Astyanax mexicanus: one gene and its partner. The protein of the gene in region 1 purifies or fractionates together with the protein of each later gene. This does not show direct contact. Links are inferred from orthologs where the notes say so. Each region holds a gene or a part of one and is shown on either strand. Other genes may lie near its edges.

Region 1 (16,012 bases):
TCGCTCTGCAGGAGATACAGGAGCATCAGAGCCTCCACTACCAGACTCTGCTACAGCTTCTTCCACCAGACAGTCAGACTCCTCAACACACAGAGCCTCCACTACCAAACTCTGCAACAGCTTCATCTACCAAGCAGTCAGACTCCCCAACACACAGAGACAGAGCTGAACACCCCCCCAACACACCCACCACTCACTCACACAGAACTGAACTGAACTCTCCCACTACTCTTCACACACACACACAAACTGTACAGAAACAACCTCTATACTCACACACACACACACACACACACACACACTCAGCAGACAGAGACTGAAATATTCTATAGAAACTATAAACTCTCTCACTCAGTTACTACTGTGATCATATGTGTGCTATATGTTACAGTATGTTACAGATCTCTGCACCTTATTCTCACCATGTACATTTAATTTGTACCATATCGTTCACGCACTGTCCTGTCTGTTAAATTGTCTCGTCTGTAGTATTTACTGTATTAATTGTATTATTATACGTCTATGTTGCACTATCATTACACGTTCCGGAGTAACGTATATGCGTTACACTGTGTACCTGTACTCAGATCTGTTGACCATAAAAGCCTCTCACTTACTAAAACTATTATTTAGCATTAAAGTGTTACAATTATTGCATGATGTTCCAATGAAGCTCTAATAACATTAATATCTAGACTGAACTTCTAATAATATCAATATCCAGAATAAAACTCTAATAACATTAATATCAAGAATGAAGCTCTAATAACATTAATATCAAGAATGAAGCTCTAATAACATTAATATCCAGTATGAAGCTCTAATAACATTAATATCCAGAATGAAGCTCTAATAACATTAATATCCAGAATGAATCTCTAATAACATTAATATCCAGAATGAAGCTCTAATAACATTAATATCCAGAATGAAGCTCTAATAACATTAATATCCAGAAAGAAGCTCTAATAACATTAATATCCAGAATGAAGCTCTAATAACATTAATATCAAGTGTGAATGAAGCTCTAATAACATTAATATCCGGTATGAAGCTCTAATAACATTAATATCAAGTGTGAATGAAGCTCTAATAACATTAATATCCAGAATGAAGCTCTAATAACATTAATATCCAGTATGAAACTCTAATAACATTATTATTCAGTGTTAAGCTTTAATAACATTAATTCCAGAATAAAGCTCTAATAACATTAATATCCAGTGTGAATAAGGCTCTAATAACATGAATATCCAGAATAGACTTCTAATAACATTAATATCCAGTATGAAGCTCTAATAACATTAATATCCAGTGTGAATAAAGCTGTAATAACATTAATAGCCAGAATGAATGAAGCTCTAATAACATTAATATCCAGAATGAAGCTCTAATAAAATTAATATCCAGAATAACATTCTAATTACATTAATATCAAGAGTGAATTAATCATTAATAATAATAATATCCATAATTAAGGTTTACTGACTTTAATATGCAGGATGAAGTTCTAGTAACATTAATAACTCATATGAAACTCCAAAAACATTAATATCCAGTGTAAATGAAGCACTGGTAACATTTATATCCAGAATAAAGTTTTAGTAAAATGAATATTAATCAATTTTAATATCAGCAGTTTTTAAAACTGATCACTGAATCTGTAAAGTCTGATTAGTAGTATAGAAGTTCATCACTTACAGTCATTGCTGAAAGGCCTGGTCTGAAGTGTCCTGATGTCCAGTTGTTCTCTTTATGCAGCTCTGTCCATTTACACTGCACTGTCCTTCTGTCCTTCTGTCCTTCTGTCCACTGAGCTCAGCAGTGTGCAGGAGCCACTTTATCAGCTGTGTATCTTTTAGAGGCACTGCCTGTTCTTCATACACCATGTGGCTCTGTGTGTGTGTGTGTGAGTGTGGGTGTGTAAGTGTGTGTTTGATTGGTCTGTTCTCTAACAAGCCCTACCCATCTTCACTAACATATACTATCTAGTCCTGCTGCCTATCTTCAGTGTCTGTGTGCATCTCTCTCACTCTGCTACATTTAGGCTACTGTTCTGCAGGCATTCTTCTGTGTGTGTGTGTGTGTGTGTGTGTGTGTGTGTGTGTGTGTGTGTGTGCGTAGATAAATGCATGACTATGTAAACCAACTGTTTTCCACTGCTGTTTCTCACTAAATAAGTCTTAATAAAACAATATTAAAAACTGTTTTTAGACAAAGTTAAACGGGACATATCATGCAAATCTTGGGTCTCGGCTGCCCCTATAAACACTGAAAGCCCAAAAAAATCCATCCATCCATTCTCTGTGAATCAGCTAAAAGATCAGGAATCATTTGCTTTTTGATCATATGCAAGAAAACCTGCATGGAACATGCTTAGAACCCCCTCCACAGAGCCCCACTCACTAGATCTAGTTGAAGATCAGCAATTTCGCTGGTTAAGAATCTCAGACAGTACACAGCAGGATTAGCCAGCAGACTTCGTCTGGAGAGGGATCTGTACATACTGTCCGTGGAAGGTCAGCAGATAAGGGAGATATAAGCGCTTTCGAATAGTTTCTTTCAGATGAACTAGCTTTTTTTGTTTTGCCATTTAGCACAATCTAACACTAACGTGTGGTAAACGCTCAGCATAGACAAGTGGCGTGGCTAGCAACAGCTCATTTGCATTAAAGTGTCAGAGCTGTTAAGCGGCTCAAAGGAAAGGATTGAAAGGCACAGGATGCTTCTAAACTATAGATCAGGGGTCGGCAATTAAGTTTGGCAGCGGGCCAGATATTTTCCAAGCTATTAATGGCGGGCCACAAAAAAATAATTATATTTTGGAAAATTAAGTGTAATGGGATGGAGAGCTACAGACTAGTAGCTCTCCAGCCCAGAGGGTTGTTGAACCCAATTGCAGAACAGTTGAATTGAAATAAGGTAAACCCAAGAAGAACGGAAAAAACACACACTGCTCCTTACGCGGGATCGAACCTGTGTCGCCACTGTCGTGGTAAAATAAACTACCACTGCCCCGACTAGTGAATTGGGACACAGCCAGAAAAAAAAAAAACGCCCTCATAAGGAGCACAAGAATGGGTGTAAAAACGAGAACAGGTGGAAAGTATAGTCACGCCAAGCGCGACAGGGAGAGACAGGGGAGGAATGTAAGCAAAAGCTCACCAGAGAAGCGTTTTACTGTATTATTATCGTTCATTATAGTTCAAACAAACTCACGGGCCAGATGTTTCATGCTTGCGAGCCACATCTGGCCCACGGGCCGCATATTGTCGACCCCTGCTATAGAATATAGATTTTCTCTGATTTACAGCCTACAATGTTGAGGCCAGGTAGTTAATCATAATACATGATCTATAAGCAAGTTTACCTCAATATAGCTTGGGAGGAATGACTACACACTGACAGTGAGTCTCTGAAACTGGAGGAAACACCCAGTATGCAAATGCATGGTATCTGAATCCAATGGAAAAGAAGCTGCAAGTAGCGACAGAGTAAACTTGAGCTGATTCAACATAAAGATCACATTTAAATGTATATGTGGCCACAAATGTTCATCTTACACAATGGTGGCATGTCTGTAATTGGCTGATTGGCATGCACTTTAGATACTGTGGACTAATTCAACAAACTTGATACTCTTTTTCTCTCTTTCAGCGGCCCACAAACAGAGAGGACCACCGGGAATTTTCTCTGTACTCCCAATGGCTAGTCCCATCCCTGTTCAGATGCAACTTAGCAAACCTTGGGACTCCAATGCATATCTGCAAAGCAGGTCACAATGTGGTCCTATGTAGCTCTGAAGAACCATTTTTTGGGCAAATTTCCAGAATTCAATGGGTTTTTAGTGTTGACACGGTTCTATACAGAACCATACCTGTTTTTACTAAAGAAGATGTGAGGAACACTGTACACAGAATGCTGGGAGGTGGTGCCTACAGACTCCTGGAAAATGGACAGAAATGGCTCTTCAGATCCTCTCCAGAGGCTTATCTGCAAAGCTCTAACAATCCAGTCTGTCGCTTCACACCTCCCACTCCCACTTCTCTTTTTGACCAAACCTGGGCATTCTGTCACTTGTTTGAGTGACAAAAGCAACAGCTGAAATCTCACCTTGCGGAAAGGCTAGCTGCAGCCCCCCGCTGGCCTGGAGCCAAACCCTCCTCCACCCTCTGCCAGTTTTCATTCTGTCTATTTTTCTCCCTCCGCATGTCTCAACACCTGCCTTTGCCTTCTCGAATGGATTTCCCATGATACAAACATGGCAGGGCCACTTCAGCTTACATAAGGCAAACAGTCCCTGTTATCGCGACCGTGGCCATGCAGCTTTCTGCAGCTGCCCCCCTCGCAAAACATGCTGTGATACGCACAGCGAATGGTCAAAAGTTGCACAGTAGGTGCTAGAAATTATCAGCCCAAGAGTGTGCATGTGAACCATCCCGGGCAGCGCTACATGAACTCAGTGAAAAGTGCTGTGGTATTAACACTGTTAATAAGACTCAGAGGCTACTGACTCGCACCAAGCAAAAAATGAGAGCGAAAGCCATGTTAAGTGTCTGAACTGGGTTGTTTCTTTAGTTTTATGCAGGAGCTGGAAGGCTATTGTAGCTAACATAAGCTTACAGTCATAAGCAGACATCCCACCCTGTTAGAAGCTGGTATAGAACATCTGTAGAACGACTGTTGGTGTCTGTCTAGGTTGTTTTCAGTCAGTGGCGCACCAGTGTTTTCAGTTGACAAGATATCAATACACCAAAAATGTACCTGAACACACCTTACTTTCAGACCACTACGCCCACTGGTGTAGATATATTCACAAGCACCATTGCTATTTAAACGACACAGGGCAAAGGCGTGAAAATAGACCGTTTGCAAGGTGTAAGATAGCAATAAGCATTGTAAGACGATTTGCACAGGGTGTAAGATAGGGTCAAAAGCAATCTAGGCAGACCTCAACAGTGCTGTGATATGAACACTGTAAGATTCAGAGGCTACTGGCTCGTACCAACCAAAAATGAGCTTTCCCTCTTTGTATAAACCAGAGAAGGCCATGATAAGTGTTTAAATTGTTTTTTTTTTTTTTTTTTGGTTTTTATTTTATGTTTTTATGAGCTCCAAGGCTAATGTAGCTAACAGAAGCTTACAGTCATAAGTAGACATCCCACCCTGTTAGAAGCTAGTATAAATAAGCTTCTGAATATAGCAATGAACATCTGACTCATGGCGTCTCTTTAGGTTGCTTTCGGACAATGGCACACCTGTGTTTTCAGTTGCCAAGATAGCAATACACCAGAAATGTACCTGAACACACCTCATTTCCAGACCACCACGGCCACCGGTGTAGATGTATTCACAAGCACTGTTGCTATTTAACCGACGCAGGAAAATAGACTATTCGCAGGGTGTAAGACAGCATTGAGCATTGCGACACAACTTGCGCAGTGTGTAACATATGGCCCAAAGCAATCTAAGCAGACATCAACAGTTAGATGTTCATTGCTATCTTGGCGTGCACAATGTACCACCACTGCGCTTGTTATCCACACATGCAAAAGCAGCAGTGCACAAACCCATACCATGTGCCAAAATACATTATTCTGCATCAACAAAAATATAGGTCACTGTAATATAACTTTGGTAAGTGTTAGCTAACCATGCAGGCCAATTTCCTCTGCAGAGAAGCACCATTTAAATAGCAAAATGTCAGAGTGCACATGGCTCTCAAAAGGAATGGCAAGTGAAATGCTGATTTGCTGGTTTATTTCACATTATGCAAAAAAGGCACCCATGATTAATTAAGAAAATTTGTGCATGCCTCTATCTATCTACTGTAATCTATTTTGAGAGTTTATCATTTCCTATACTTTTGCAAAATTTCATATAAACTGTGGATTAGATACAGATGTTGATATTTTGTCTCATGTTCATCTTTTAATGTCAAACCCAAATGATATTAGTCTACAGCAGAAGTAGAGGGGTTGGTTCCAATACTTTTCGAGGGGACTCTATACTGCTGTCGTTGAAGTTCAGCACATCCACCTGTAGCCAATTTGTTATTCTGTGTTCAAGGTATACAGTGTTCCTAGTCCCCAGAGATCTGGACATCTCTTGGAAACATAACTCGATTTCACAACTCAGTTGAACAGCGAACAGTGATTTAAGTTACTACTACAGGCTGTCCTGGTCCGTCCCACATGTACACTTCCATGTGTAATGTTATTTCAGCTGCCGAAGGAACATCGCGCACCAGTAGAATGTCCAAACTGACCCTGCATTAAAATTAAGATGTTTTCCCATGACAGCAGTGATGATATACGCTCTCCTAAACTGAGCAGGCCACCCTCCACTTACAGCAGCAGGACATCGCCCCGAAGTGGACACTGTGTGCTACAGCAGAAGATGACACTTGTGGACAAACGATGGAAGGTGTTTATGTCAGATAGTCATACCACAGAATCCTTGCACAACAATAGTTTAGAGTTACATCCACCCCCCACACCAACAAATACCTAGCTTTAAAAAGCCTGAATGCAGCAGATTGTTTTAGTCCATGTCAGAATTACTTATGACAGGTTATACGTCTTTAACCTTTGGTTAAGTAGATGGCAGGCGGCCTGTGTGCAGGCATGGCTCTCAGTCGCTGCGTGCACTGCACATTTTTATATTTTCTTCAGCCCTGACTCAGCTCACACCATGCTGGATGATCTGATGAGCTGAGTCAGGCGTGTTAGTGGAAGGCTGTGAGATGGGAGTAACAATGACTGGCTCACAGTCTAACCGTGTGATACACTACGCACTATACTGTTAGATTGTATATGTTACTCTTTTCCAATATTTTTATTTATTTCGAAAACAGTTAAAACACAGACTCATTTTGTTCTTATAATGCAAAGCTATATTATCGTAAACATCAAAAAAAAAAAAAAGTTGCCATCTGGATTTAATTAAATAAATGATCTGGAGTTGCTGCAGTTGGTCTGCAGGTCTGGGTTCAGCAACAGTATGTGCTGATAGAATGAGGTCAGCTGACTACCTGAATATACTGAATATAGACCAGGTTATTCCATCAATGGATTTTTTTCCCCCTGATGGCACAGGAATATTCCAAGATGACAATTTCAGGATTCATGGCATGAGATCCATATTTTTACATTTGTTTTTACATTTATTTTTACATTGTTCACCACAGAGTCCAGATCTTAACCTCACTGAGAATATTTTGGGATGTGCTGGAGAAGGCTTTGCAGACTCTTCCATTATCATTGCTGCAAGATCTTGGTGAAAAAGTAATGCAAAACTGGATTGAAATAAGACTTGTGACATTGCATCTCTGCACAGATTATCTTAATACTAGGCTTCATACATCTGCTATGTACTTGCTGGAGTGTGGGCACACGTGTGCAGTTGTGATGGATCACAGTATAAATAGTACCAATAGGGTGCTGGAATGGTATATGTTTATGCTCCATATCCAACACAATCAGATTCTCTCTATCTGGATGGAGAGATGTATCTCCTATAGTTAAGTCATTTTTACCTAAGTAAGGTAACAAAGTATTTGTACTTCGTTTCTGGGCACCTCCGGTCATGGCACAAATTCCCAGGTGTGCCTACAGCTTGAGATACAGGCCAGTACAGTACTTGTATTTGCCCTTTGTTAGTAATGGAATGTGAAGTATGCTGGAATAGGACTTCCAGTAAGCCTGGGCAGAGTTTTCCGACCCCTGCACATGCTAGCCTTCACCCTCCCTGGTTTGGTGAGCCCCGCTAGATGATTGATAAATTATGGGAAAAACAAAACAATGTAAACTATTTCCTGAGTAAATGAGTGATACTGTATTTAGTCCGACAGGAACAGGAAAGTTTTTTTTTTTAACAGTGTACCATCATTGATTTGTAACAAGTTTTAAGCATGATGCAAATGCAAGTTGGTTTTATTAGTTGCCATAACAACAAAAAACTTTAAAACAAACAACGACAGACAAACTAGTAAACAAGGACTAACAAAACCAGAAACAAAACAAACAAAAGTTAAACTATAACAAACCAGTAGTCAAACCAACAAACAAACTAAGTAAAGATAATAAACCAGTAACAAAGCTAAATACTATGATTGTTAAACGTAGCATCTTAAAATAATGACTTAGAATATTAGAATTTAGCCTCAAAGCTAGCTAACTCTAGCTACTGCTGTGTATAAGCTAGGATATATCAACCCAAACATATAGCCTTGTTAGCTACATTATTTAATGTGTAATAATCAATAAGGCACATTCTGGTGGATAAGCAGTAATAAAAAAAAACATTTATTGATGTAAAATCAGAAATATACACCAAGAAGGGTGAAACGTAGCCAGCATTGGGTGGTCCTTTTCAATACAATAAATACATCAGCAATTATCAGTTTTTTTCTAAAATAATTTTATTTCTAATTTTTCCCATTTTTCTCCCCAATTTACACGGCCAATTACCCAACCCACTCATTAGGACTCCCCATATCACTAGTAATGCCACAACACACCAGGAGGGTGAAGACTAGCACATGCTTCCTCCGATACATGTGAAGCCAGCCACCGCTTCTTTTCGAGCTGCTGCTGATGCAGCATTGCCGAGCAGCCAGCGCGCTCGGAGTTTAACGGACTTCTGACACAGACACTTACATTATTATTCTGCCACCCTAAAATAAGTAATTATTTTAAGATACTTTCTCATTATTTTTGAGATAAGTTACTTTATTATTTTGAGATACTATGTCATTACTTTGAAATACCATATGTGGTTACTGGAATGTCTTTTGCTTAAAATAAGGACTTAGTATCTATAATTAGCCAACTAGAATCTCAAAAATAATGACTTAGTATCTCAAAAACTTCTCAAAATAATGATTTAGTATCTCAAAATAACAAATTTAACATCTTAAAGCAACTACTTAGTATCTCAAAATAATAAGATAGAACCTCAAAATAATGAGATAACATCTCAAAATAACGAATTGTATGTATATTTTGAGGAATTTAGTGTAGTTTTAAATGACACTGAGCGTAAACAACCTGTTAGCTACCTCTACTTACTGTTGTGTATTAGCTTTTTATGTTATATCTACACGTGTAGCTAGCAAAATTTTTTTGTTATTTACACTATTTAACGTTTAATTATCCAAAAACACGTTTTGGTGGATATATGCTTTAATAAAATAGCACGGACTGCTGTAAAATCATAAATATTAAAGGTGAAAGGCACGGTGAACCGGGGGGTGCGGCCCTTCCGCTGAGAGGGAACGGAAGCGGAATCGCCGCCATCTCCTCGTAGCGAGCAGCTCCAGGGTCAGTACCGAGTTTACTGTGGGAAATACGGTGGATGAACCGCTATCGAGAGCCACACGACACGGGGTACGTGTAGAATGACTGTCAGACGTGTGGCCGGGCACGGAAAAGCGGGTCTGAGTGAAGCGGAACGGCCGCAGACAGCCGTGTGGCGTGAGGTGGTCGCTAAACGGTGAGTGGAATAGGGCAGAGGTGGTGGATCCAGGTCCGTGGTGTGAAAATCCTGCGCCGCGATTTCACTTCTACTGCATGGGCTCGCAGGCTGCAGCGGAGCCGGCCTGGCAGTCGGAGCGAAAACCCGGATTTTTAAACCGCGGACCTGGGTTCACCACTATTGGAATATAGTAGTTAGCAGTACCTATGGTTATCTAACCTTAGCAACGACGGCTAGCTTACGGTTTTTACGTGTTACTCCAATTAAAACTGTTAAAGCGAGTTTAGAATATAGGAGAATTAAGTATAATCTGTTGCAAACTTCCTTTTCAAGCATGTATGCTTTTTGTTTCGTTTTTAATGCTTAGTAACGTTTAAAAGCGAGGAGTGTAGACTGGCTGTGGGTGTGGGGTTGAGCTAACAGCTAATGTTAGCTAGCTAGTGTTGTCAGTAGATAAAGCTATGCATGTATAGCTATGAATATAGATAACGTTAGGTAGGTAAATAGACAGATATATTTTCCTGAGGCTAATTTACAAATTACAGCAGCCCATTGAACAGAAGTGGCAAATATAAGCTTGCTACGTAAGTAGTAAATAAATAAATCTTAGCTTAACTAACGTTAGCCACTAAGGATATACGTTAGAATGTGTAGGTAGAATAAGTAGGTAGAGAAAAATACTATAAAATACAAATACAGCAATATAATAAGAACTACAAAGTGTCCGCTGGAAGCAGTAACGTTATATAGCAGGTAAAGTAACGTTACGTGTGAAAAGTGTGTGTGTATTGTAAACATTCAGTAGGTTAAAACTAACTAACAAGTGTGAGTGAATTAAGGCTGCAAACAATCTTTCCAAATGTGTCAAAACTATTCTCATTCATTACTATTCAGGTAGAATACATAGTATAGATATTAGAGTTTAAAGTACTTTTTCAGTAGAAGGTAAAGTATCAGCTCAAGCTTTTTACTCTTTAAGTAAAAGAGTAAAAGTACTGGATTCAAAACTACTTAAAGTAATAAAGTAAAAGTAATGTAAGGAGGGGAAAAATGACATTAAGGATAAAAGCCACAGAGTCCTATAGTCCTATAGAGTCCTATAATGTTATATTAAAATGTTAATGTTGAACAATTTGGAATGCACTTGGCTCTCTAGTGTTTCAGCTGCATATATTCCTATTGAAAATGAAAGTATTTTAGTACAATGTAAATATGAAGTTCAGTTGGACATCTGTAAAACTCGAGTTCTTTTGAGTCTACATACTCATCTACATACTCATCTACATACTCATCTACATACTAGGCTACATACGTCTGCTATGTTCTTGCTGGAGTGTGGGGGGCGTGACATGATGTGCAGGTGTGATAGATCACAGTATAAACCAATAGGGAGTCGGAATGGTATATGTTTATACTTCTCTACATCCAATTACAATCAGATTTACTCTATCTGGATGGAGAGATTTATCTGGATAGGGCTTTTATTGGACGATGAGGGTCGGAATGAAAACAAGCTGAAATGAAATGAATAACGAGGCTATTTTTAAAATGTAAGGAGTGAAAAAAGTTCAGATAATTGTGTGAAAATGTAAGAAGTAGAAGTAAAAAAGTGATAAAAGTAATTACTTTAGTAAAGTATAGTTAACGAAAATTTGTACTTAAGGAAGGTAACAAAGTGTTTGTATTTCATCACTTTACTATGCTTGCTTGGTTAGTAGTCAATAAATAAATAAATATAACTAGCTACTATTGATATTCAATGTGTAGCTACATATGTAGATAAATAACGCTACAGTAAAAAACAAATACTGCAATTTAATAATAACTACAAAAACAGGTCGGAGTCAACCACTGTAAACATCATAACATGTACATTTTGTGTGTGATAGTTGTAAATATTGGAAGAAAAATATTTTAGAAAACGTGGATACGCTGTGGAAGCTTGTGTAAGCTTTGTGTCTGAGAGGATGCAGGGCAGAAAACTCTTTCCAGTGTTTTTTGAGATCTAGTTAGCTAGATTGCTGTAATAAAGTTGTGTAAAGTTGTTAGCAGCTGTTGTTGTTCTCAGCAGCTGAAGTGAGTTATTAGCTCACTGTTAACATTTCCTGTTTCAGTGCTGTTTGCTCTCCGGTTTAAGGTTTATGTTAATTAGTACAGAGTGAAACGCTGCTTTTGATTTTGCTGGAGCGGTTAGGACTTTGCCCCAGGCATCTCCACACCAACTCTGGAGCCGTTATCAGTGGGCCGGGTTGTGTAATCCTGTTTGTTCAGTGTGTCATCTGCCACTCCTTATCACTCTGACATGTAGTGAGATATAGGGCTGGGCGATGTGACTGAAGGGCAGTGTCACGATACTGGGAGACGATATGTGTCACTGGAGAGTGATAAGTTGGAGCAGGCAGGTCTTACAGTGCTAAAACTGTCGTTGTACACCGCAGTGCAGTTTGGGTTTTTGTGCAAACAAGTGGTTCACAGATATTCGTCTAGCACTAGTTGTACGTCATATGTTGATGCTGTCTCACAAATACCTTTTATCTCTGTTTCTCTCTTAATTCTAACATAATTCCTAACTTCTTAACATAATCTCAGCATCTTTTTACGTTGACTTACATTGAAAGCTAAGATAATTAAGGATTTTTCCTCCTCCGATTAAGCCTGATGTACATTGTGCAATTTCTTGACGTCGCAACCTGTTTCAACAAAATTCACTTCAAATAAATCCATAAAAATTATTTTTTTTGTGGAGTGATGGCCTTTGTCATGTGGGTATCTTGCTTCTAGATATATGGAGAAAAAATATTAAGTATATTTTGCTAAAGTGCTCAAATGATATGTGCAGCCATCTACATATAATATAATCTACACCATTTTAACAGGGCACAAGTTAGCAAAGCTATGCACTTTTTTTTATTTTTTATAATTTTATCTAAAATTTTTCCTTATTTTCATCCCAGACCAAATACTCAACCCACTCATTAGGACACCCCCTTTCACCAATGATGCCCCAACACCCCAGGAGGGTGAAGACTAACACATGCCTCCTCCAACCACCAGCCACCACCTCTTTTTAAGCTGCTGCTGATGCAGCATTTCCGAGTAGCATCACAGCGTGCTCGAAAGAAAGCGCAGCGACTTAGTTCTGATACAACAGCTCACAGACACCATGTGCTGAGCGACATCACCCTTTGGAGGGATTTGGGGAGAAAGCACCATCTACCCTCCCAGAGAGAGCAAGGCCAATTGTGCTCTCTCTTAGGGCTCCTGTAGCCGATGACAATTTACATGAACAGGATTCGAACTGGCGATCTCCTTATGCTATGCGCTTTCTTAACATGTTGTGGTGAACCAGGCGCTTGTATGCAGAAAAAGAGCTGCGTTTGACGTGCAGTGGGAGCTTTTCGCAACGCACCTGATTAAAGAAAAATCAAGTAAAGTGCTAAATAAGTCTAACTGTAAGTAAATAGGTTAAATAAATAAAATATTAATTTGAAAAAAAAGAACAACTTTAATGAGTATGCATCAGTGTCTGCAGTTGTATATTGAAACTTAAAAAAATATATATAATGGGATTGGCTATTTACTACTACCTTAGTACTACTATGTACCTTAACAGGAACTGTGTAATGAGCCATAATTGTGGGAAGTCTTTTCATGTAATATGTCTTGTTATTACTTTGTTATTACCTTTGTTTACATTTATTATACTTAAATATTGTCTTAAATTAAAATAGCATTTCCACATTAGTTCTAGGTTAATTTTTAACAACTGTATTTCTGGTGTAAAAACTCAATGGTTTAATTAGTGTGAGCACTAACGTCATAAAACGGACAAATATCTGGAGGAAAAAAGTGTCTAAACTTTTTTACTTTTCAAGCAGTGTGTTGTAGGGTAGGGCCATGTCTATGTTCTTGCTTCAGCTGTTATTGTGTGAACGTGAGCGTTAGCACTGACCCTCATGCTTTCAGTGTTTGTTGTCCAAACATACAGAATCCAGCGGTCACCCCACAGCCTTGTTTAACTTTCTATAGCTGTGTGTATATATGTGTTTGTATATATGACTGTACAGGGTATATGCACTGATCCACAATCAGTAGGGGTAGTGATGGTTTGGTTCACACCTAAATAAACCCCTCGGTTTGGTACGATGGGTAGAAAAAAAAGAGAGTTATTTAATTCATTGTGCAACTTAGGATGTTTTCACACCTGTAGTTGGTTTCTATGATCCAGATCAGTTGATGAGTTTGTTTACCTGGAGTTTTTTCGTCCTCTGTTTGGTTTGGTTTTACACAGGCGCTATTCTAAACGCACCAAAATGCGCACCAATTAACCACTTGACCACATTGTCCCCTCTGATTGGTCAGAGCTATCTGGTGTGGGAGCAAAAAAGTAAATTTAGCAGGAAGATTCTGTGTTCCAGTGTGTATCTGTGCAACTTAAAGTTGCTTTAAAACAAAACGCTGAAATTTTGCCGCTGCACTTTAAAACAGACGTGCAGATGTTTTTAATGACACATGCAGCGCAGATGTACACTTTGTAAACAGGGAAGAAAAAAATCCATTGATGGAATAACCTGGTATATATTCAGTATATTCAGGTAGTCAGCTGACCTCATTCTTTCAGCACATACTGTTGCTGAACCTAGACCTGCAGAACAACTGCAGCAACCCTAGATCATTTACTTAAGTTAGTACTTAGTTAAATCCAGGTGCAGACTGTATTTCAGCCTAGTGTAGATAAAAAGGGCAAAATATAGTATAGCATCTGAATTTGTTCCCTAATTTCTTCCAATTTGGCTATCCAATTGTCCCACCCCTTTGTGCATCCCCATCACCACTGGCACCTGCGACCCTAGGAGGATGCAGGCGAGCACATGCCTCCTCCGACACGTGTGAAGTCAGTCACCCTTTTTTTCGAGCTGCTGCTGATAAATCATTGCCTGAGCAGCTAGCATGCTCAGAGGAAAGCACAGCGGCTAGGTACCGATACATCCGCTCACAGATGCCTCGTGCCGCCCAGCGTGGGGTTCGAACCTGCGACCTCCCGCTCATAGTGGCAGTGCTTTAGTTAAGAGCCACAGTTAGCATAGCAGGCTAAAGGTGTTTCAAGCTGCTAATAGCTACAGCTTAAGTGTTCGGGGCAACTTGCCTCTGAACTTAGTTTCCGCATTGCGTTCATTGGATTTCACACATTCACATAGACAGTTCCTATATTTCACGCATTCCTGAAGAATACATGTACCGTTTCACCCCTAACTACAGGTATTGACTTAGTATTTACTTGGTATTTGCAGGCATTGGTCACTTTATTTCCCCTCGTTCTAAATGAGATTGTTCACAGTTGACAGACAGACAGACGTTAGAAATGCTTGCTTTTATTACACACAGTGATTAAGTGATTTACTGTTAAGAGGAGAAAGGCCGGATCCATCAGTATAACCTTTGTACTGCTGGCGCTGCATTCAGATCAGATATTGTTTTATGAAGAGATGGAATTTAGATGGGTTGGGAGAAGGTGTTGATTGGTATGGATAGAGTAGGGTAAATATGCAAATATGAAATATTTTTTCATTTCTATAGTGGGGGATAGTGATTTAATGGGGATGAGTATGGATTGGATGGGTATGGGTATATACTAATGATGATTTTAGATTTGAAGATCACATTTTATACATAAATTAAGCTCAGCGTACTTTACAAACTGCCAATATAATTACAAGTCAGAAACTGTTAAGACTTTATATAGGGCACTACAATACTTAGAATAAAAAAAACAGTAATCATAAGAATAAAAGTAATATAGAATTGTAATTTAAAATCATAAAAGGCTTAAAATGAGGTAAAAATACAGAATGTTGTGACTATAAAGTAATAAAATAAATGGATTCATATAAATATAAAAGTGAATACAATTATTAATTAAACCTAGTAAAACCTGGGAAATAAAAAAAATATAAAATATAGTTTACAGAAACATTATCTTTGTGGGCAATAATGTCAGCTTAATTATTGAGGTGATTTCTGACGATAACTTAATTATTGTGGCAGGCTTAATTGTGCTTTAAAAAATTATATAATAAAAGGCACATATTGCTATAGGAATTTATTGTGATAAAATAAGATATTGCTCACTTCTAGTGGTTAAATAATATTTTTCTTTAATTAACAGTAAGGCCAAATCAATCTTTTATGTTATAGCTCTTTATCCTTGAAGCTGTAAAATAAATAAAGAGCCTGTAGGCAGTTAAATGTGTGGAGTCTATTCATGCTGATCATATCTCTCACTGCCTTCAGGCTTCACTCTGTTACTGTTAAATATTCTTTTTAATGAGACGGATGGTCCTGTTTATTTTTATTGCTTAGGTTTTTATATTATTTTTTCACAGTAATGTCCCTCAGATAAACAGCTTTTCTGATGTTCAGTTTGTCTCCTGTGTTTCTCTGCAGTTTCTGATTCACCCCGGCTCGTGTGGGCCCTGATGTGGCCGTGTGGAGGTCTGGAGCAGCGGACAGGCTAAAGACTGACCTGAACACCCAC
Region 2 (16,012 bases), on another chromosome or scaffold:
TATAGGTAAAGAGAGTAATTTACATTTATTTCCCTAGTTCAAATACAATTCATGCTTCATGGACAGCAGTACACTTGCATTTTTTTAAGAGCTGAGAGATACAGAACTTGCATCTAAAGTAAAAGAAGCCCATGGCAGTGTATGGAGTATGGAGTATAGACATTTTTACAGATATATGATTTACTCCGCATTACTGGATTTTGTGAACCGTCTCATGCAGTTTCACCAAAGTCACATGATACATTAGCAGTGCTGGTTAAATTGCTGCATGATGTTTCTTTAAAGTGATGATTTTGCTTTTATTAATTAGATAAAAAAGGTCAGGAAATGCCAATACATTTCATTTCAAAAATGTCACTCAGTTTGTCACTCAGGGGCTTCAGACATGTTCTTTCTTCTAAAATAACATTTACCGTAGCTTCTCTGTGTGCAGCAATGGACTTCACCATAGCTGCTTTCTTCCCATCCATCTCACGCTGCTGCCGAATCCGCTTGGCCTCAGCTTGTGCCACTGCTTTAGAGATTAGCTCTTCCTCATTGCTGGTCTGTTCTTGACGCTGTGCTGCCAGCCTCTCAATAATGGCCTCCCTGTGTCTCTGCATCCCTCTGCCACAGATAATTAGATATAAGTACAGGATTCTAAAATAAAAATTTGTCATCACAAATTATTTGTCATAATGTAGATAAATAAAAAGAATAAACACAAAATATCTATATTACTGAATAAAATGTTTAAAATATCAAATACCTAAACAGCATTTCTTCTTTCTCTTTTCTGAGTTTCATCATCTTCTCTTTAGCTTCAGCAAAAAGCCTTCGATTTTCCTCTTCCTGGTCTTGCTTCTGAGCTTCTTGTGCTTGGATGATATCCCTATCAGCCAGGTGTTTCTGACAACATTCAAAAATATATATTCCAAAATGGAAACTCTGGTCTACTTAAAAAACAAACACTATAATTTGCTGAAACTTCTCACTGTTGCTATCATAAATTAATAGTAGAAACTATTGCTAAAGTGGAACCTGTTTAAGACATACTTGATGAGCTCTCATAATGTTTCTCTTCTCTTCTTGCTTGTTCTGCTCATGCATAGATTGCTCCCATAAAAAAAGCTGTCTGAGCCGCTGGATTTCTTCTGCCTCCTTCCTCTCTTCCATTTTCTCCCATGCCTTTGTGTGATCATGCTCCTTAATCCTAAAATGGATTAAGAGTTTAGATTTTTTACAAAAACTTATTATTGACTTTGATTAATCCTAACAAACTGCTTTTGCCACATTCTTCAATCTGTCACTTCATAGTCAGTTAATAAACATAAACATCTGTATGTCCATTTATTTTATACATTACTGCTGCTTTAAACTCTCTGCCACTGCCAGACACTCTTGCTTCTTCTTCAGGGCTTTTTGTTCCTCTATCTGTGAAGCTTCCTCCTCTCTGCGTGCAATCATTGCCAAGACCTCTTTATCCACATCTTTAGAGGCATTCTGCTCTCGTCGTCTCAGCTCAATCTGTGCCTCCCTCTCCTTCAAAACCTCAGTCAGCAACAGGGCACTCTAATGAACAAATTAAGATTAAAAACAGATATTTTGATTCAAAAATTACAATTATGAAAACTTTTTCAAATTTGCAGAATATCAGTAGCATCTGGCAACTTTTACTATTCATGGCAGGCACAGGATGCCAATTTGTTGCCAGAAAGACATTGGAAAATGGGTTGGAAATTAAAATTGGAAATCACATATGTCAAAAACAAACACTGAGTTGACATTTGGTTACTTTCCACCAAAACTATATAATAAAAAATATATCAATGTCTGATAACGTTAGAATTTCACATTGTGTGAATGTTAACATGAATTTTAGCAGATGTTTTTTGTGACCTCAAAACAAATGTCCCCAGTCCTCATTGTCAAACAAATTGTGGTATTAAACAATGTCCTGATGCTGAATTTAGGTCATCCAACATCACGTCCTCCAATCAAACTGATAACATCCAAAAAATTTGGTGCTCAGCTTGGATGCTTACACTAAATGGGCATGTATACAGCTAAGCCAAACACAAAGAGAAATAAAAGACAATAATTTATAAATATAGATATACAAACATGAAATCCTTTCACTCTGTCTGTCTGATAATACTGCTGAGTCTTTGCCCTCTCTATGGCCTCTTTTCTTTTCTGCTCTTGATACTTTGCTTCTTCTATGTCAATGCGTTTCCTCTCCTCCTCTTCGATCTCTTCTCTGATTTTCTTTGCCTCCAACTTTTTTTGACGTTGCCCCTATAAACATATGATGGGTCATATTCCAGAGGTGTTTCAGCAAAGTAGCACGTATATGGATTATTATTTAAAGTTAAATATACAGATACAGATTTCATAAAAAAGTTACTTACAGCAATAGTGTTGGTCCAGTTTTTCACCACCTCTTTGGAGCGCAAGTGCATGGCCTCCCTCTGCTTTGCTGCTTCTATCAGACTGTCCTTGTGTTTGTTCACTTGATTCAGACTGTCCTGGAGACGCAGCCATTCTGATCTGGGTAGGACTGTCACTTGCAGAAGATCTATCGGTTGTCTAGGCCCAGTTTGCACTTCTGCTGAGTGAACTTAGATTAAAAAGGAGTTAATAATAATATACAATCACCATCACACTCAGTTTTTTGACACTTTTTTTATAATTTATGACAAAACCAACAAAAATCCCTTCATTTCCTTTCCTTCAGATTCCTTAATTCATGCAAGACAACAACAATATAATTTGTATGCTACTGATACTAATATTTGAACAATACAAAATACATCCAGATTTCTTAAGGGGGTGGCATCTTATATAGTTATACTTATAAAAAATCTAAGACAGTACAATATTTATTTAACAACCCAATTTTAAGGTTTGTGTTTGCAGCAATGTTTGTGAATAAGATTAGGCCTACACAGTGTATCATTTCTCAACAATGTATCATTTCTCAATTCAAAACTCAGTCTCATTTTCCTTTTCCACCTACCAATATCAGGTATGCACTGAATATTTGGCAACCAAAATTAGGTGAAAGGGCCTAATAAATTATACCAAACAGTGCTTTATGTGCATGAATGCAGACAATACCATTTGGCACCTGATTTGCTGAATAATCCACAGCTGATTTAGATCAGACAAAAGACTAAGAAATAAGATCAGAGCTGTTCTTCATTATTTTTAATTAATTTGTTAAAGTGTCAACTTTGCAGAGCAATCTGCCCTCAGCAAGAAGTTACTGCCTTCTGCCTTCATTTGAGAAGCATGACAAATATACATTTCTGCTATGTAAATAGCATATAACCTATAGAGTGGTGGGAAAAAATTAAAATGTTTTGAAAACCGGTGCATTTCTACCCAGTATTATTTGTTTTTCTAAAATATATGACTATATACTTCTGATTAATGTGATTGTTATTTATATTGTGATACATATCACCAAAAGAAGTAGGATGCAGATCTATATACAATGCTGAATAACTTATCTAGTGTAGAGAGAGTGCCACTAGCTACAACTGTTACCGAAGTTGTGAAATATTTTGGCATTCCTGATTTAGTTATTAAGAAAACAAGCTACTAACCGTAAGGGTTTTACTGCACAGTGGTAACAATGTAGCATTTTATATCTAGTTGGTATTATAAAAATGAGATTTAAAAGAACTGAGGTCTGTGACTGACCTTTCCTGCTCGACCCCTGCCTCCGGCCATACTGCACTGTAGAAACGGTGGTCATGCTGGCAGATTAATTTAAACCAGTATCTGTGAATATATATGAACATATAAGAATATGTGTCATTAGATCCAGTTTCTTTGAGTTTTTTTGCTTCTTCTCTGCAGACCGAGCTCTGCACTCTGAATCTGGGCAAACATGTCCTGGCCCACTACTCGTGTTGCCTAGCAACTGTGTTTGCATTTACAGCGTCTCCTTTGGCAACCTCGCGAGACCGCTCGCAGGAAACCTCACGGAAACGCGAACAACAACGCGAGGGGAAAAAACAATAGTTCCTAACTAAATATTAGCAAATTATAAATGTATATATCAGTCATCTGTATAAGGTAATCACCTGAAATGGGTTCAGTTAACAGCTGTGCTGAACTTGTCAAAAGTTAATTACCTGAATGTCTTTAATGTGTTTGAGAGCATCAGTTGTAAAGTTGTGAAGAGGTAGAGTTGGCATTCAAGTGAATATCTTTATTTGAGTAATGTTTTAATCCATATTATGGCAAGAAATACTCAACTATACTATACAACTATACAATACAGCATATGTACAGGACATACAGGGAATTAAAATTATGTTACTCGCCTTCCCAAGTTACAGCAAGTACACAAAATAAGATACAAAATAAAAAATATGAACCAGATGAGGTAATTCAGGTATTAAGGAAATAAGGAAATTTAGAAAATAAACTGAATCAATAATAATCAATAAAAAATACCTCATATCAAAATATATCCAATCCAAATAGATAATTAAGAATGGTGTTTTTATTACCTTTAATTAATTTGTTAAAGAAATATGAGCTTTGTCAACCTGCCCTCAGCAAGAAGTTACTGCCTTCTGCAATTTTTTACATCAGCAAAGACCAAAAAAATCTACTGAAGAATTTAACTTGTAGCGCAGGACACACAGCATGCTTCACCATCTTAATATCGTATTAGACCGAAGTTTCTAATTTTTTCAAGAGAAATTTCTTCTCATTTCTTTGGTTCTCTTTTTTCTGTTGTTGCATAGTCTTCATATTGAGAATCATGTTGCTAAGGAATCATCTGGTCAATTATCTGGTGCAATAAGCTGTTGTAGTATTTTAGTTATTTTCGACCATAGAGTTATTATTTTAATAATGAATAAATACATAAGCAAACTCAGTCAGTTGAGTAAAAGTCTGTTTTGTGGAGCACAGTCTCTAAAATGTGGGTTTTAAAAGCGGGACTGCATGCACAAAAAAGGGAATGGAGAGCGGTCATGTGATGTCCTAATTGGTCAGATGTTTGAAAGTATGTCAAACATTATTCCATGGTTGTGACTTTCATTACTCTTTAAAAGCGTTCACCATGGGTCAAATTTGGTACTTAGCGTACAACAGCTGACTAAGTAACACACTCACTTTTTCACTTTATTGAACTACAGCTATTTCCGGTCTTAAGTGTTGATAATAGTACACATCATAATACACATCAACTTTGTGTATAGTAGGAGCATAAGGAACAGTTTATTTTTATGCTGACCAGGAACATTTTGCATGCTGATCTTCTGTTGTAATCCATGTATCCATAAAATAAGGCATATGTAAAAAAACTGTTTGGATATACATATGCTGTATATATGTATGTATAAATAAGTGTTAGTTTGTTTGTTTTTGTTTGTTTATTTTTTTTTTTCTGTTTTTCTATTTGTTCCCATTTTTTTACTCTCTTTGCCTCTCCCCAGCCCCTTCAACTCTGCCCCCCCCCCCCAACTATATCTGCTAAATGCTCAACTACAATGATTGCTGTGTCTATCTATCTACATGTTGAAAATTTAAATAAGTTGTAAAAAAAATGAATAATAAAGTAGTATTGCTCCCCCAAAGAGGGAAGTGGTGTCGTGCCAAAAAAATATATATATATATTATTATTATTATTATTGAAAAAAATGATTAAATAATAATTATTTAATTATATATAACTACATGTATGTTTCCTTATGTATGCTTAAAAAATTCAGACTGCAGAATATAATGCATTTTTTGTTATATTACATTAAAAGAACTGTTACAGAAATTAGTACTTTAGTAAGCACCTCCAGTCCCTCTTGTTAGTGCTGCTTGATTTGTTGTGGGCCCTTTCAGCCAGGCCCCTCCCACTCCTGCGTCCCTCCCCAGCGTTCATTCAAAGCCCGGCCACGTAAAGTCTCATGCGATTCTGCGAGTTACGTCCAGAGAGAGGAGAAATGGCCCCGGTATCAATCAGACGCGTTTTAATCAGCGAGAGCGTGGATCCCTGCTGCAGGGCGATCCTGCAGGAGAACGGGATCGAGGTGACGGAGAAACAGAATATGAGTAAAGATGAGCTGATTTCCCAGATTAAGGTAAGTGAGATTCGGTTTGTTTGTGAATCGCTTTGTTTGAGCATGCGCTGTATTTTGTAATATCGCGTGCCTTGCTCATCTCGAGACTTTTCTAAACTTTTTTTGAGCCGGTTTTCTCGGGGTTGGAGCTGCTGGATCAGTTTTGCTGAGCTGCACCGCCATTGGCGCCTCCTCATGAGGCTGATGTAACATCACTGCTGGTGTGGCTGCAAGTCCCAAACCTGCATGCTGGTCTGTCTGCTACTGCACTACTGTGGACTTGGCTGAAGAGGCCTAGGATTTGTCCAGCATTTGCATTTGCATTTTTATACAAATTTATGTTATGTTGTTGGTGAAAATACGATGGCAGAAGAGCTAATTCTTCAGAAAAAAAAGGTTTTTAGACAACCAGAATTGCATATAAATAATTGTGTTCTCATTGAGAGGCTGGTGGTTTTTTTTCCTTCAGTTTTTCACTTTTTGGCATGATCAGAATGTAGTAGTTGTTGTGTACATTATCTACAAATGTAATGATAAATGGCCCAACACATGTTCTTAAATGACTTGGAATAAATTCCAAGTTTTACATACCATGCAATAGTGAGTGTATATAGTTTTTATATTATAAATAATTGTATTAATATGCCAGAAAGACACTTATGTGTGGGGCCTGTATACATGGCTCAACTAGGAACCAAAAAAGTTGGGCGTACTACATTGTCAGGTAATGAAATATGATTTGAATTTGAATGAGGTTGTTAGAGGGTAGTCTTAAAACCAAGAAGCATTGTTTTGCCTGATGATTAGGTTTTCTCAATAAGAGTGGGACACAATTGAGACATAAACAGTGCATCCCTTGGACAACGTTGCAGAAACTGAACAACTACGTCATTACCACAAAAAAACTATTCCACTTACCAAATAACTGTCTAAAATTAGGGCATTAAGTCTTGGAATATGTCCACAAATCACAGCATTGTGACCCTTTATCTACAGGCCGTGACTTTTTGACTTAGCTTGACCTGTCGAACTGACCTCTTCTCCCATCTGTGTCAGGACTACGATGGCCTTGTGGTTCGATCCGCGACCAAAGTTACCGCTGACATCATCGCCTCTGCTGGCAACCTGAAGGTGATTGGCAGAGCTGGGACCGGGGTGGACAACGTGGATGTGGATGCAGCAACCAAGAAGGGCATAATAGTCATGAAGTAAATAAACATCTTTATTACAGGGTGTATGTGTGGAATAGAGGCAAACGTTTAGATTAAGAAATTAAAAGTCCTTCCCAGCATGTTCGTGGTATATAATCTGTATTTTCCTTATTGGCTCTGTTCTGGTTTGAACTTCCATCTGTCTGGTGAAAGAGTTTATTTACTGGATCTGAATGTTCAATTTAATAACACCCATTGTCTGCTAAACCGGCATTTCAAGGTCTGTATTCACTAAACACTTCAGGAGAAAGAAGACTGATCTAGAGTCAGTTTTTAAGAGCTTGACTGTACTAAGCAGCAGTTGATGTGAGCTGTTTAAATACCAATTCCCAGGTTTTACTAGGAACAGCCTGAGCCATTGTTTACAAAGGTGAGCAATTTTGTGTGTTGACAGTGCTTGACGCATAGAGTGAATTTACTTTTCTTTTACAGCACTCCAAGTGGCAACACCATCAGTGCTGCTGAACTGACCTGCACTCTTCTGATGAGTTTGTCAAGGTATGGGAAGCAATTTTAGAGTATAGTAAAAAAAAAAAAAAAAATTTTAACATTAACAACATTTTGATGAAGATACTTTCAGTGAACACTTTGCAGATTGTGGGTTTAGGTTATGTTATTTTGATTTTTTTTTCTCTTTCTTTTTTTTAATAAATACTATAATACAGTGTATAAAAAAATTAACCCTGAAAACACATTTTGATAACCATCTAATCAGAAACTGCATATTTTTGTTTTATTATTGTACTCAAGGCCACATATTTTTCTATTCCTAGACATGTTCCACAAGCTGCTATGTCCATGAAAGCAGAAAACTGGGATCGTAAGAAGGTACACACACTGAAGTAGAGTCTTTATGTGATGGGCTGTTTTGAGGTAGTTGGTGTGGACAGTAATTACGGATGCTTTTGTGTTGTCTGTGTGCACCCAGTCGTCACTAACTGGGTCTGACTACTGGATGTGTTGCATCATGCAGGCTTTTAGGGTAGGTGGGTCAGTGTTTTGTTAATGATTTTACAGTTCATGGGTGCAGAGCTGTATGGAAAAACCCTTGGAATTGTTGGGCTTGGAAGAATCGGGAAAGAAGTGGCCACTAGAATGCAGTCTTTTGGTGTGAGGGTAAGATCTTCTCTTCTGTGTTCTGAACATTTTTAGTGATTTATCCAAACATGTCCATGGATGAAGTGCTGACTTGTGTTATTTATTGGCAGACCATTGGGTATGACCCCATTACCCCTACAGAAGTGTCTGCTAGCTGGGGAGTGGAACAGATGTCTCTGGAGGAGCTCTGGCCCCAGTGTGATTACATCACGGTACACACACCTCTCATGCCCTCCACTACAGGTGAGAATTGACTCAAACATAGATCAGTGTTTCAGGTCAGTTCTGTTGGCCTATTTTTTTGGATGTCTCAGCTTTATTGAGGTACTATAACAGAAAACCAGTTTTCTTTTTTGTTTCAAATCAAGAGTTTGATGTGGTACATAAACCATATGGATGTTTTAGCAGGTAATGTTATTTTGTCAGCGACTCCACATGGTCTTATAAATGGAAACTAAGGCGCAAAAACAGCCCACTTTGAATATAATGTTTTGTTACTTCACAAACTGCTATATATTGATTACAAATCTGCCTTTTCACATTTCACCAGTATTTTTTGCACTATAAGACGCACCTAATTCCTAAATTTGCTTTAGAATCCGGTGTGCCTTATGTATAAGTTTTACCAGTCAGGTTGTAAGAAGCAGTAAAGCCACTTTGCTGAAGTGCAGCGTTATACAGGAGTTTAAGTGCTAGCTCTTTTGCAGTTCAGAGGTATAATAGGAGTATAATCAGACTGTAGTCTGTGCATTTTCTGTATTAAAACAAGCTACATGGGATGAACCGCTTGCTAATTTTGACCTGACTTGCCAGAACACTCAAGGTTCCTGTCGCTGTCGAGTGGCATATACCTCACTCTAGTGCTGTTGTTGATCGTTAATGCTAATGCTGCTGCACCCAGCCTTAGTGGAAATCTGGAAATGTAAGATTACTGTAAATACACAGAAGTGCTTTACTCACCCAAATAAATGTTTTTCAGGAGAGAAATCTGTGTGGATTAACAACCAGTGCTTGTTTGACCTTATAAGAAAAATATTTTTTTTAGAATTAGTTTTGTTAATTAAGCTTATCTTTACTTAACTTATACCTGCTGAATTATAAGAAAAACATGGCAACACATCTGTTTCTTACTAGTGTCGCATAATGAGTCTTATAATCCGGAAAAAATATGGTAGACAAGAAATAAGAACAGAAATAAATGTCATTTACAGTACATAAACTTGTCCTAAAGGCCCTAATTCATAAACAGCCTGAAAAAAAATTAAGAGGTTAGAAGTCTGGTTAAAACAAATCAATAAACAAAAAACACATACATGTAATGGATAAGGGCCTTTTAATCACAAAATAACAGATAAAGCCTGATCTATTGTAGGTTTACTGAATGATGACTCCTTTGCGAAGTGTAAGAAGGGTGTGAAGGTGGTGAACTGTGCCCGTGGAGGCATCATCGATGAAGCTGCTTTGCTCAGAGCTCTAGAGTCTGGCCAGTGCGGAGGAGCTGGCCTGGACGTGTTTGTGGAGGTGAGGCTAGTATTTATTTATTGTTAATGTATCCATCAAATCATATATCCTTAGTGCCAGACACTTGTGTGATGCTATTTTTATAAAATATATGTAAAATTATTGAGAAATATGAGATTGTGCTTCTCTATAATATTTATTTAGGAGCCTCCAAAGAACTGGCCCCTGGTGAAGCACCCTAATGTGATCTGCTGCCCTCATCTGGGAGCTAGCACAAAGGAAGCCCAGGCTCGCTGTGGACAGGATATAGCACTGCAGATTGTGGACATGGTCAAATGCAAAGCACTGGTGGGAGCTGTGAGTATTTCCAGAAATGGGAACGTCGTGAAAAACAACTTTTACTTCTTTGGCCAAAGAAAATAACTTTATTATCTTTATTTTTTTTAGGCATTTAGTAAGAAATGCCAGTCCTGATTGTCTTTACATTCTCACCCAGGTAAATGCCCAGGTGTTGGCCAGCACCTTTACCCCTGAGTCGCAGCAGTGGATCAGGCTGGGTGAGGCCATGGGACGAGTGCTGAAGGTCTGCAGCTCCTCCAAACAACCCTATGGTCATTTGCACATCACAACTCAAGGTGGGCTTCTGACCTCTATATTTCTGGTAGCTGCATGTCATTTAAATGTAAGATGCTTAGTAACTACATAAAGAATCAAAGTGCAGTTTTTAGATTTTTTTAATCCAGATTAAATATATATGTGAGAGAAGATATTCCACAACTGTAGAGAGTTGGACATTAAAGTTTCATTACTGGTTAAATACTGCCCTCTAATGGTCTATGTACTGCATGGTTGCTTACACACAGAAATTGCTTAGTAATATTATTTGAGGGAATGTTGTTGTAGGAACATGTAAAAAGGAATGCAGTTATGTTTGCCTCCAGGTGATTGTTTAAAGAAATCAGCTGGATTCCTGAGTTCAGCAGCTGTTGTTGGACTGCTGACAGAAGGACCAGGGAATGGCCCTAACTTGGTGAATGCACTGCCTCTAGCTGAAGAAACTGGAATTAAAGTAAGGATGTGTTTCAATTCCATGTTCATGATGCAACCCCTTGCTTATAGTCTTATAAACCATACCACATATTTGAATAAAGCACATTTAAACTTAAGGATGCATAAAAATCTCCTAGCAACATGTACTTTAAACCCATAAGCTCAGCAAACTAATTAGCGCAACAAAATTCATGAAGCACTGCGTCCACCTTGATATCAAAGAGTTCATACATCCAACGTGTATCCACATGATGTAAAAAATGCAGGTAAAGTAGTAGAACTGCCAAGGGAAACCTGTCCGCTCTTATTAGATCCTGTAAAATTAACAAATTAACTGTTGCATTGCAACTACTACTTTACACCAACATCTACACAATTCTGTACTGCTTCTGATTGTTTAATTTTAGTAGGTATCTGAATCCGTATTAACAAGTACAAAAATACTCATGCAGTATTTTCCGCACTATAAGTTGCATTTAAAATCCTTTAATTTCCCCAAAAATGTATAAATTTTACCAGTCAGGTTGTAAGCAGCAGTAAAGCCACTCCGCTCAAGTGCGCTGTTGTACTGGATTTTTAATTTAGTTTTCGAACACCAAGACTGAAGCAACGTTAGCCGCTAAGAGCTAATGCTCTTTTGCCGTTCAGAAGTGAGTACTATCTGCCTGTAGTCTGCTGCTAACTCCAGATAGCACTGCTGGGGCAAAATTAGCCGCTAACCACGCTATGCTCTAGCTCTTTCACCGTTCAGAGGCGAATATATAGGACTGTAGTCTGTGCATTTACATGCTACGTAGGTAAAACCGCTAGCTCATATATCCCTGGCTTACCGGAACACTCTGGGTTCCTCAGTGTAGTGCTGTAGGGTGGCATTTACTGTTCGCTGCTAATGCTGCTTTACCAAGCCTTAATGGAAATCTGACAATTTAAGATTACTTTAAATAAAATGAAGCACTTTACTCACTTAAATAAACAGTTTTCTGAAGAGAAATCTGTGTACATTAACTTCCAGAGCTCGATTGACTTTAAAAGAAAATGTTCTTTTTTTAAGAATTATAGATTTGTTTAGTTAGTTTAGCTTTACTGTAACTTAGTTACCTAAACTACTGAATTAAACTATATTATTTGGTTTCACCCAACAGATTAAAAAAAGTCACAGTGACACAAAGGAAGCTGCTGGTGCCTGTATGATGGAGGTCTCTGTGAATGGAAGCATCTATAAAGCCCTTGGCTCAGTACAGGCAGATGTTCCTGTCCTGCTCCAGCTGGATGGCAGTGTGTTCCGGCAACCAATCCCTCTCTCTGGAAACCTGCTCTTCTTTAAGGCTGCAGCATCATCTCAGCTTCTGCCGTCTGTTACTGGTAAGTTAACTGACCTAAAATTAACTAAATAAATTGACTCCTATTATTATAAATCATGTTCTTCTATTTTCATATTATATAAAAATCTCAAAGGTGTTCAAAATTCACATTATATCAATATTTGTTTCTCCTCTTCAGGGGTCTTGGCTGGAGCTGGTATTGAGATGAATTACTTCAGTGCCTCCACTGCCTCTGATGGTGAGCAGTGGTACTGTGTGGGAATGCAGTCCCTGCTGGGAGATCTTGGTTCTTTGAAATCCGTGGTGAAGGAGGCTGCACAACTTGCTGTATAAATCCATACTAATGGAAAGTTACTGGGAATTACTTAGCCTTAGCATTCCATTGCCTAACATGGAAATCTAGCATGACCGTAACATTACTGCAATATAGTGTTTACTGTGAAGAGCCTTGCCTATGTTGGGCTAAACACTAGCTTTGGTCATATGTGAAATGATAATATAGGAACTGTAATTGTTTGCGCACAACATATTTTATCTGATTAAAGATCTGAAAACTCTAAAGCTTGTAATCTAATAAACATTGTTTACTACTGTGAAGATGACCCAATACCAAAAATAATGGATAATAATATGATTAAACAATCTCATACTTTCATATAATTGTCATAAGCATTCGCCTGATATTTTAATTTTACTAGAAAAGGGCAGATGAGTTACTGTGAAAAAAAATGGATTTAACATTTGTTCACTGTAATGCTAATTTAGGTGTGTTTTTGTCCGTTTCTAAATGTTATAAGGTACAGTGGAGTTCAAATATCTGAGACCACTTCTGTTTTACATTTCTTTCTAATGTAATAGTTTTGATGACAAAAGGTAGTATGTCAGTGTGAAATGTAGCATCTGTGAAAATGTAACATGTTTTCAGAATTACTGAATCTGTACTGGTATGAACACCCCATATTTGTACAAAAGCCTAAAAGGAATAAATCAGATCAGAACATTTTCTGAATATGATATTTAATGAAAGGGCCCTGCTGAAAAATCCATCTCACAATGCTTAAATGTTTATTATGCAGTATTTCTAATATAAACTCCCAGTTTAGAGATCAGCTATAAAATGTTTACTTACAGTAATACCAGATCTATAAAGCCATTCGAACTAGACATTTTACCAAGACTGCATATCCTTAGTGTCATTTTGATTAGTCATATGTAACCACTAATTTCTCACAGATTGTCACACACTCTTATCTTTAATTATGTATTTGCTTGTAAAAAATCTAGTTGCACATATCTGAAATTTCTACTAGTCAATGTGTACATGTATGTATGTCAGTGAAGTTCATATGTAAGACCACTACTAAACATATGCAAACTCAAACAATTTGAAAACTAAATGTTTGTTTTCTATTAACAATGTTTTAAATGTTTGAATAAAACCAATAGGCCATAATAAAATGTATTGTTTTTTTTTTTTAATTAGCTACAGGTCTGTGTTTGGTTGATTTTGAGGCATACACTAGTCTCTATCTATAAACATCCATAAAACATTTAGAAACAAATCTATTTTATTTAACCAGATAAGATTTATTCAGCTTAACCAGGCACAGTGTCTTTATGAAATCGACACAAAAATCTTTTTTTATTTCTTTCAACCACAATTGTCTGACAGAAAATATTGAATTATTAAAATCATGTTTTTTATTTAGCTCAGGAAACTGTAGTACTTAATTGGCTATGTTTTTTTTTTTTTTGGCCCTGTTCATTTTGAGACATACACTCAGTCTCCAAGGCCACAGCTGGCGTTAGTTATTCTTGCTCCGTAATGTGCACAGTCTACGCAGCTCACTAATACCATAATAAGTAAAGATGAATGGGAACAGAGGATGTCCTCTTCTCCTAAAATGATAATGTAAATGTGCAGAAAGGATTAACTCCTCGTGTCTGCCTCCTCTCGCTACTGTCTCACTTTAAAAGCCACATTATGTAATGTTCTTAATCCTTATTAGGATTAACAGTAGATCCGATTCTACCATAGTGACTAACTGGGGAGAGCTCTGTGAGCGCAGTCACAGTTCTTTAGGAAAAGATTTATAGTGTGTAGTGTTTATGTAGCTCCACAGCTCACGTTTGCTTTGAGAATGCGGTCAGCTGGAGCTGACATTATCTGTGAGCCTGAGTGGAATCAGCAGCGCCTCTCCAACTATACACAGTGACCAAAATAGGAGGGCAGCACTGGGGCTGAACTGAAGGGGCCATATGTCTCCTCTATCCCAGACAGAGACACATCTGAGGAACACTGGCCATGAATCACACCGTGCTCTCGTCTCAATAGGATATTTGCTTCCACAACACTTGGTAAGTTTGGGATATGTACATTTACATACGTTTCTTTGAAGGTCATGCAATGGCATTGGTTGTTTCTCTTGTACAAATAAATATAATGTAACATAGGTCAAGCTTTTTTCAAGGCTATGTCCTTTACAAATCGATATCCCTGCTGAAAAATCCATCTTAACACCAGATTTTGCATGGTTTACACTTGTCTTGATTATTGTCAAGGTGGTAGAAACCAGAGAATCCAGGTAAAAACATTCCCTGTGCTGGTTAACCAGCTTTTAAACAGTATAGTGGAAGCTTGGCCTTGCTGGTCAACCAGTTTGGTCAATGTTAGTCATGCTGGTAAACCAGCTTGGTTATATTGGTTATGCTGGTCACACAGCTTGGTCTTATTGGTAATACTGGTCAACCATCATGGTCATATTTGTTGTCATATTTGTTGGTCAACTTTGCTTGGTTGTGATGTTCATTCTGGTTGAATAATCATTCTTTTAAAAAAGTTTAATCATCCAACAAACACGTTTCTGGTCATGCTTTAACATGCTGGTCATTCAGTTTTATCTTGCTGGTCAACCAGCTTGGTGATGCTGATCATACTGGTCATGCTGTTTATTTAGCTTGGTATGGTTAATTTTGCTTGTAGACCATCTAAACTCAAACAAAAATATACCTTTTATGGGTGTCAAAATCTAAACTGGCAGAGATGGAAAGACAGTTTGAAACAGGTGTGCAAATAAGGTAGAATTGTGTAAAATTCACCCAACACTATCGCTTCTTTCTTGTTTTTTAAGGAATCATGTCAGCTAAGGATCTCGAAAGTTACACCTATGACTTCCTTGATAGCTCCCATCCATCTGATATGCTGGATGCCCTTCAGGAGTTCTACACTAGTGGCCTTTTCACCGACATCACCCTGTGCTGCTCTACAGGACAGATGTTTCACTGTCACAAGGCTGTGCTGTCCGCCCGTAGTGCCTACTTCAAGGTAATGTTCACTTTAGACATGAGAGAACGCTCAAATGGCATCATCAGACTGGCTGGAGTGGACAGAGATGTTCTGAGCGCTTTGGTGAACTATGTCTATACCTCAAAAGTGAGCATCACGCAAGCCAACGTGCAAAGCCTTCTGGAGGCAGCTGACCTCCTTCAGTTTAGCTCAGTGAAAAAAGCCTGTGAGGACTTCTTGATGCGGATGCTGAATGTTGATAACTGTCTCGGTATGCACTCTTTTGCTGAGCTCCATGTCTGTCCTCTGCTGGAACACGAGGCTCTGAGGATTATACTTGGTAGATTTGAAGAGCTCATACATCAAGAGGAGTTTCTGGGACTAGAACCCAAAAAGCTAATGGCTATATTGTCTGCTGAGAACCTCAACGTGTGGAAGGAGGACACCCTCCTAGAAGCTGTTGTGAAGTGGGCGACCTTTGACACAGATTCTCGAAGAGACTGTGTTCAGGACCTGTTGCACTGC

Evidence for each region.
Region 2: the proteins of epn1a (region 1) and phgdh purify together in Homo sapiens (affinity purification with mass spectrometry; 3 studies listed by BioGRID and IntAct, with this or other methods). This does not show direct contact. The link is inferred for Astyanax mexicanus from reciprocal best matches to the Homo sapiens genes EPN1 and PHGDH.

What each region holds. Positions count from the first base shown.
Region 1 is NC_064413.1:7,059,502-7,075,513, forward strand, and holds the start of epn1a (epsin-1), read left to right. Parts: upstream 1-9,260; 5' UTR 9,261-9,495; intron 9,496-15,921; 5' UTR 15,922-16,012. Other genes in the region: uncharacterized serine/threonine-protein kinase SBK3, read right to left, coding at 1,702-1,707. UniProt on the Homo sapiens protein: Binds to membranes enriched in phosphatidylinositol 4,5-bisphosphate (PtdIns(4,5)P2). Modifies membrane curvature and facilitates the formation of clathrin-coated invaginations. Regulates receptor-mediated endocytosis.
Region 2 is NC_064418.1:37,500,151-37,516,162, reverse strand, and holds phgdh (D-3-phosphoglycerate dehydrogenase), read left to right. Parts: upstream 1-5,854; 5' UTR 5,855-5,906; coding exon 5,907-6,080; intron 6,081-7,115; coding exon 7,116-7,267; intron 7,268-7,702; coding exon 7,703-7,768; intron 7,769-8,043; coding exon 8,044-8,098; intron 8,099-8,287; coding exon 8,288-8,386; intron 8,387-8,478; coding exon 8,479-8,611; intron 8,612-9,740; coding exon 9,741-9,889; intron 9,890-10,033; coding exon 10,034-10,186; intron 10,187-10,325; coding exon 10,326-10,464; intron 10,465-10,770; coding exon 10,771-10,898; intron 10,899-12,021; coding exon 12,022-12,241; intron 12,242-12,379; coding exon 12,380-12,534; 3' UTR 12,535-13,201; downstream 13,202-16,012. Other genes in the region: protein CFAP210, read right to left, coding at 414-606, 749-888, 1,036-1,192, 1,346-1,551, 2,104-2,277, 2,391-2,599, 3,688-3,742; klhl23 (kelch-like protein 23), read left to right, coding at 15,338-16,012. UniProt on the Homo sapiens protein: Catalyzes the reversible oxidation of 3-phospho-D-glycerate to 3-phosphonooxypyruvate, the first step of the phosphorylated L-serine biosynthesis pathway.